Linked DNA regions of Bombyx mori. The main gene of each other region encodes a partner of the protein of the gene in region 2 in a complex. Links are inferred from orthologs where the notes say so. Each region holds a gene or a part of one and is shown on either strand. Other genes may lie near its edges.

The links. Proteins that work in one complex are often made in the same cells at the same time.
Region 1: the proteins of methylcrotonoyl-CoA carboxylase subunit alpha, mitochondrial (region 2) and probable methylcrotonoyl-CoA carboxylase beta chain, mitochondrial are in contact, whole or in part, in a cryo-EM structure (PDB 8JXM), measured with the Homo sapiens proteins. The link is inferred for Bombyx mori from reciprocal best matches to the Homo sapiens genes MCCC1 and MCCC2. Residues at the interface, in NP_064551.3 of Homo sapiens: Glu519, Phe526, His531, Asp532, Phe534, Ser535, Pro536, Phe537, Ser538, Ser539, Ser540, Ser541, Gly542, Arg543, Arg544, Leu545, Asn546, Ile547, Tyr549, Thr550, Arg551, Tyr568, Tyr636, Leu637, Ser641, Glu644; in NP_071415.1 of Homo sapiens: Leu56, His57, Val60, Glu61, Lys64, Asp88, Ile91, Pro93, Gly94, Ser95, Pro96, Phe97, Leu98, Glu99, Gln102, Ile123, Gly124, Arg125, Gly128, Glu130, Arg234, Trp276, Leu278, His281, His282, His285, Lys298, Lys299, Leu300, Ile304.

What each region holds. Positions count from the first base shown.
Region 1 is NC_085125.1:11,581,381-11,585,535, forward strand, and holds the start of probable methylcrotonoyl-CoA carboxylase beta chain, mitochondrial, read left to right. Parts: upstream 1-1,345; 5' UTR 1,346-1,522; coding exon 1,523-3,196; 3' UTR 3,197-4,155. UniProt on the Homo sapiens protein: Carboxyltransferase subunit of the 3-methylcrotonyl-CoA carboxylase, an enzyme that catalyzes the conversion of 3-methylcrotonyl-CoA to 3-methylglutaconyl-CoA, a critical step for leucine and isovaleric acid catabolism.
Region 2 is NC_085121.1:10,538,792-10,542,304, forward strand, and holds part of methylcrotonoyl-CoA carboxylase subunit alpha, mitochondrial, read left to right. Parts: intron 1-928; coding exon 929-1,076; intron 1,077-1,427; coding exon 1,428-1,565; intron 1,566-1,724; coding exon 1,725-1,820; intron 1,821-2,339; coding exon 2,340-2,523; intron 2,524-3,513.

The DNA.
Region 1 (4,155 bases), on a different chromosome or scaffold from region 2:
AAATCTGTGATTATAGAAGTATAGAAGTCTTTAACAATAGAATCATAATGGTGTACAAACTTATATTTCAATGAATTATATTATATTCGAATTTCGATCACCAGGGCATCACTAGTTTTATGAAATTGTTCAACTTATTTATTGTCATCGAAATTTTTAATACTTGCAACCGTAGACGTAATGCAAATTGTTATATTCATCGGAATGCCGACGAATTGATTTGACACTAGTATTGTGTAAGAATCAAATTAAAACATACACATTTTGTTTTCAATTATTTAATCTTAAATATAGAGTTTTTTGTGACGTTCAATGATTTTGGGGTCATGCCCCACGACGATTTTCGAAGGCCTTAGGATGTGAATGATACCAGTCTTGAGACATGAGGTCGAACTTTCGCTTGTACTCCAACATCGATTATTTGCCGATTATAATGAGACAGTAATTTATGATATTCATTTTATACAAGATACTGTAAGTTTCAAATTCACAAGCTAGGTCTTACTGCTGATCCAGTCTGCAGGTATTGTGAGGAGGTGGAAGGAATCCTTAAGCACATGTTTGTGACTACTGAGCTTTAGGTAGTAAAATATGTTAAGTTCTCGGAGAGTATATTATTTACCTTAAGACGGAGAAGGAAAATTGTTCAAGAAAAATAGTTCAATTATTTATTTAATTAATTATTTATTTATTAGGCCCGGACAAAGATATCTAACACTTTGGTTTGGGGAAACATCAATGATCTTCCACTTAAGGTTTTTGCCAGATTTCTTTTACTCTATAATAGTTATCATAATACTGGGCATCTAAACCATGATAGAACCATAGTTGAAATGCTAATAATTAATAAAAAAAAACGTCTATATTACGTCCTATCTTAGTATACGATATTAATGTCGCTGTGTTCTGCAATACAATATAAGGTATATCTTTTACATATTTGCCAACAACTAAATAAAAGTAAGCGTCCATAAAAGATTGGCATAACGATAAAATACGAATATCCAATCGTATTCGATGAAGGGTAATGTCTATTTTGAAATTCAACTTGAAAATAAAATCAGTCTTGGTCTACAAGTAGATTCGTCGTAACAAGTGACCGTTTATTGTTCAAGGTCCGTGTGTATTTCACACCACGCTGCACGTGAACTCGACTCAAAAGTGGGTCACGTCATCATGATCGAATATCTGTTCAAAAACTAACATAAAATTTCGCTTCACGAATTTAAGGATCATTTATTTAAGCGCGTTATGCAAAAGGCGAACGCGCCAGAATGAATGGAAACGCGTCGGCGCTGGGCTTTGTAAATATTACGTAAAACTACGCTGTCTTAATATACAGTCAGAACGCATACATATGTAATAATGTAAGTTATTATCGGAGCGGGGGGCGGTCGTCAAGGAATTTGTTTTTGTACGATTAAAATGTGTTGATAACGTTAACAGCGGCTTTGTTGCCAGTAGCGCGTCAGAGGCCCGACGACCGGTCGTGTTTTTATTCTCAATTTAATTATACATTAAAATGTTTAAACTCGTCAGAAGCATACGCCGACTGAGCGCACAATGCCGGCACCACAGCCACGCGACCGTCATCGGTACTGAGCCGAACCGAAGTGATCCTTACTTTCAAGAGAATAAGGCGAAAATGGATGAACTGATCGACGAGCTTCAACAGAAAACCGGTGACGCTATCAGAGGTGGGCCAGAGGACGCAGTAAAGAGGCACACGGCGAGAGGAAAATTGCTTGTCAAAGACAGGATTAACCGGTTAGTGGACGAGGGCTCCGATGTATTGGAATTGAGCGCGCTCGCCGCCGCCGACATGTACAAGGGCCAGGTTCCGAGCGCCGGTATCGTCACCGCTATCGGCAAAGTTCACGGTCGCGATTGCATGATCGTCGCTAATGATGCAACCGTTAAAGGGGGAACTTATTTTCCGATTACCGTGAAGAAGCACTTACGCGCCCAGTCGATCGCACAGGAATGTCGGCTTCCGTGCATTTATCTTGTTGATTCTGGTGGAGCCCATCTCCCTGATCAGGCTGATGTGTTTCCGGACCGCGAACACTTCGGAAGAATATTTTACAATCAAGCTAATATGTCAGCTGAGGGTATACCGCAGATATCTGTTGTCATGGGATCGTGCACTGCGGGAGGAGCGTACATCCCTAGTATGTCAGACGAGAGTATTATAATAAAAAATCAAGGAACCATTTTCTTGGCCGGCCCTCCATTAGTCAAAGCCGCTACTGGTGAATCAGTTTCTGCTGAAGATTTAGGTGGAGCTGACCTACATTGCCGGCAATCAGGAGTAACGGATCATTATGCTCTAGATGATGAGCATGCTTTACATTTAGCTAGGAATGTCGTGGCCAACCTCAATTGGAACAATGACCAAAGAGCTAGAGTTTATTCCTCGAAAATTGAGGAGCCTGTTCATGACATTCAGGATTTACACGGAATAGTAGGTGCTAATATTCAGAGACCTTTCGACATTAGAGAGGTTATATCCCGGATAGTTGACGGAAGTAGATTTCATGAATTCAAGCAACTTTATGGGGACACTTTAGTCTGCGGCTTCGCCACATTGTATGGACACCCAGTAGGTGTAATCGGGAACAACGGCGTTCTTATGTCCGAATCAGCTTTGAAGGGATCCCATTTCATTCAGCTGTGCGCTGCTAGGAAGATTCCTTTAGTGTTCCTGCAAAACATTACAGGTTTTATGGTAGGAAAAGACGCTGAAGCTGGCGGTATTGCTAAAAATGGAGCTAAAATGGTAACTGCGGTCAGTTGTTTCAAAGGACCGAAAATAACTGTGATTGTTGGGGGAAGTTTCGGTGCTGGGAACTATGGAATGTGTGGGCGAGCGTATTCGCCGAGTTTTCTTTTCATGTGGCCCAACGCAAGAATATCCGTGATGGGGGGACCACAAGCTGCAACAGTTCTCTCCTTGGTCGCCAAAGAAAAGGCTCAGCGTGAAGGGAAACCGTGGACTGATGAAGATGAAAAGAAAGTCAGGGGTCCATTAGAAGCGCAATTTGAGAAAGAGGGTCTTCCTTACTACAGTACAGCAAGGCTGTGGGATGATGGCATTGTAGCTCCGAAAGATACGAGAAAAATTATAGGCCTAAGTTTATCGGCAGCTCTTAACGCACCGTTTAGAGAAAGCAAATTCGGCATCTTTAGAATGTGAGTGAAATTTGAACAAAGTGAAACTTTACAAGACTGTTTTGTTTAATGTACTTAGTAAGACTTTATTTTCTTCTCTAGATATATTTTAAAATTGTAATAAATCGCTTTTGGTGATTTCGTACAGTGATTTTTACCATATATCTTATCTTTGTTAGCAAGTGAACTTGTCACGTTCTTTTATCTAATTAAAATGAGCAATCATTAACTACAGATTATGACATGGTCGATAAGATTTATTTTGGTTGTGACACGCCTCTTTAGATAATTGTTGCTGTATCATATAGTGAGAAAATTAATGTTTCTAGTACATCCTCGGTTGGTTTAGTTTTAGAGAAAACAATGCAACGGTCTGGGCTTGGATTTGACCAGTCTTCTTCAGTCCCTGCCTCCGTAGGGAAGTAATTTCTAGTTAAGTACTTTCAAAATCTCGTTGGAATAAATAAGCGACACAGAAAGCAAAGGTGCTCGTTTTTAGACATATGCGTTGTTGAATTCAGTTGAGAATAGTCCTTAAAATTTGGCGAACGGATGCCTGATTTTTAAAAACAAAGTAATTGTAGTTTTGGTCGAAGTAAAGAGTAAAAACTAAATAAAAACAATTGTATTACCTACCTTATACATTAACTACATTTGAAAAGTCATTTTGAAATAAAAAGAACAATGGCTATATGAAATGTATTCAATTACTATGCAAATCATTAAAAATGGTGTTACAAAGTTTAGGTTTAACTAAAGGATTTGTGCCACTTAATTTTAACGGTTTGTTTTTAGTGGTAATAAATACAAGGTCGAAATGTCAAAAGAGGACCGATATATGAAGTTTTTTCTATTTCACTCAATTAAAAATTAGCCTTAAAAATACTGTATTCAGGTTTCATGTGAGGTTAATATGTAGATAGTATAAGTAAGATAATTAAAGAAAGTGACTGCCATTAGCGAAATGTCCGTAAATAGGACCGT
Region 2 (3,513 bases):
TCCATCCTCGCTCATGGTATGGTTGGGAGTTTCTTATTGGGGCTTAATAGAGGTACATTTTTGTGAGAAAGGTGTAAAAACGAATGCAGTTGTGTATCAAAATACAGTCCTGACGAACCTTGTGGTACCTGTTTCTCATACCATGTTCAATAACAGGCACTGGGTATTCCAACAAGATTCGGCGCCAGTTCATAGAGCGAAGAGCACACAAGACTGGCTGGCGGGGCGTGAAATCGACTTCATCCGGCACGAAGACTGGCCCTCCTCCAGTCCAGATTTGAATCCGTTAGATTACAAGATATGGCAACACTTGGAGAAAAAGGCGTGCTCAAAGCCTCATCCCAATTTGGAGTCACTGAAGACATCCTTGATTAAGGCAGCCGCCGATATTGACATGGACCTCGTTCGTGCTGCGATAGACGACTGGCCGCGCAGATTGAAGTCCTGTATTCAAAATCACGGAGGTCATTTTGAATAAACGTTAGTGTCATAAGAATCTGTTTTGTTAAGTTCATTTTGGTATATGAATGGTTACATAATGAATAAACTTGTTTCAATTATTTTACCTTAAACATGTGACAGAATTTATGACCTGACTATGTATAATGATTGTTCACAAAATTTAAAAGACAGTTGTTATATCTACGAGCAGCTCAAACGAAATATGTAATGTGAAAAACTTACATCAGTCAATGTGGAGCCAAGTTGACACTTACATGTAAATTACTGAAATCTGAAACCACAGTACTGTTTACCCTGTATCTGTATAATAAAGAATTTTACAAAAATACACCATTAGTATTTAGGCTTCCCTGTAATTAAAAATGTATATATTATAAAAATTGTTTTATAAAGTAAAACAAGAATTTACTTAATTTAAAAATTTGTATATTGTTCTTAACTAATTTGTGATTCTTTATTTTTTTAGTACGTCAAAAGCTATTATGTCAGCAGCCGGTGTACCCATTGTTAGAGGATACCATGGTGAAGATCAGAACATTGAGAGACTGAAAGCTGAAGCCCAAAGAATTGGTTTCCCGCTTATGATCAAGGCTGTCCGGGGGGGCGGAGGAAAGGTACAATCTATTTAAATTCACCTTTAATGCGTATATCTTTATTTTATCATTTTAGTAGAAATGGTGAATTGATTTTGAACCATCTGTGGTGAAATAAAATATTGAAGACTTCACCATTCCACTGGGTTTTTCATCTAAAACATTAATGTTGGCTTACTTGATGTAAAATATTAAGAAAAAAATGGATGTAACCTTTCAATAATACATTAATGACTGGTTCAAAAACCATGAAATGTCTATAAGTGTTTATAAAATTCAATACAAAATTTCAAATGGTAATAAATATCTCACACCAAATGTTTTGATTCTTCCACCCAATTTTTTTTCTTAATCTTTTTTATTTGTTTTCAGGGTATGAGAATCGCAATGACCGAATCTGATTTCCTTCCGCAATTGGAATCGGCGAAGAGAGAATCGCTTAAATCATTTGGAGATGATAATATGCTGCTCGAACAATACATTACGGATCCAAGGCATGTGGAAGTTCAGGTGTGGTGAATAATTTTTCTTTTTAAATGTCAATATTATCTAGTTAGTTCACCACACATTATACAAGTATTATATAAATTATTTTAACTGTAAAAAAATTGTAAAACCATATTTTTTTATTTCGTATCAGAGGCTAATGTAAAAAAAAACTCATTTCAGGTGTTCGCAGATATGCACGGAAATGCTGTTCATCTTTTTGAAAGAGATTGTTCAGTACAGAGACGACACCAGAAGATCATAGAAGAAGCTCCGGCAGTGAGTGTTTTTTTTAATTTCCAAATTCATTTAATCTCAAACCTAACTGAAGTCATCGTGGCCTAAAGGATAAGACGTCTGGTGCATTCACCTGGTGTTCGAATCCCTCAGGCGGGTACCGATTTTTCTAATGAAATACGTGCTTAACAAATGTTCACGATTGACTTCCACAGTGAAGGAATAACATCGTGTAATAAAAATCAAACCAGCAAAACTATCATTTGCGTAATTAATGATGGTAGGACCTCTTGTGAGTCCGCACGGGTAGGTACCACCACACTGCCTATTTCTGCCGTGAAGCAATAATGCGTTTCGGTTTGAAGGGTGGGGCAGCCGTTGTAATTATACGGAGACCTTAGAACTTATATCTCAAGGTGGGTGGCGCATTACGTACACGTAATAGATGTCTATGGGCATCAGTAACCACTTAATACCATGTGGGCTGTGAGCTCGTCCACCCATCTAAGCAATAAATAAAAAAAGACAAACTATCATCATAATATATATTCTGTCTTCCAGCCTGGGCTTTCTGAAGAGACTCGTAGAGCGTTAGGTGAAGCCGCAGTTCGCGCCGCCAAGGCCGTGGGCTACGTAGGAGCCGGCACAGTAGAGTTCATCCTTCATAGAGTCACACACGAATTCCACTTCATGGAGATGAACACGCGTCTTCAAGTCGAACATCCAATCACGGAAATGATAACTGGTAATTAATTTAATTAAAATTGTTTTATCTTTAAATTAATTCAATTGATATACTAATGTATACCTGCAAAGGTTTTGGTTGAGAATAAAATCACTCTGTCTATTCTATTGAATGTCATGAAGTGAATAAGCTGAAGCCTTTGAGTATTATATATGCATACATATAAGTTGTACATAAATACTAGAGGAGATCAAAACTTGTGTCTGAAGTGGAGAACTCTCTGGGGCGTGTCTCCAAGTGGGGTAAACTGAATTCAGTTCAGTTCAACGCATTGAAGACACGGGCTTACGCGTTCACTGCGAAGGGCCCTTTTGTCATAGCGCCGCAATTTCAAGGAGTAGTACCTACCCCTGCAGCTTTCCTCGAGTATAGGGATTCTGGGGATCGATATTTCGAGCGATGTCAAATTTCGGAGTCATTTGGAAGGTTAAGCCAAATTGGCCTCTAAAATGTTAATTAAAAAAACGACAATTTAGCCGAGAAAATTGTGAGTGAAAACGAGTGACTTTTACCACAGCACATAAGCACAGTCTTACCGAATATGACTAACTCATTATTGCAGATGCAATTAGCCAATCACGCAAAGAAACTTATTTTTTGTGCCAAACGCATACGCATACGAAAAAGGCCTATTTTGGATCTTTTATCAGTCAAGGGACTCCATGAAATACAATATGCAACTGCGACAATTTTTTTCATTGTACATATTATTATTATAACTTCAAAATATGTTTACTGGTGGTAGGACCTGTTGTGAGTCCGCGCGGGTAGGTACCACCGCCCTGCCTATTTCTGCCGTGAAGCAGTAATGTGTTTCGGTTTGAAGGGTGGGGCAGCCGTTGTAACTATACTGAGACCTTACAACTTATATCTCAAGGTGGGTGGCGCATTTACGTTGTAGATGTCTATGGGCTCCAGTTACCACTTAACACCAGGTGGGCTGTGAGCTCGTCCACCCATCTAAGCAATAAAAAAAAAACTCATTTAACT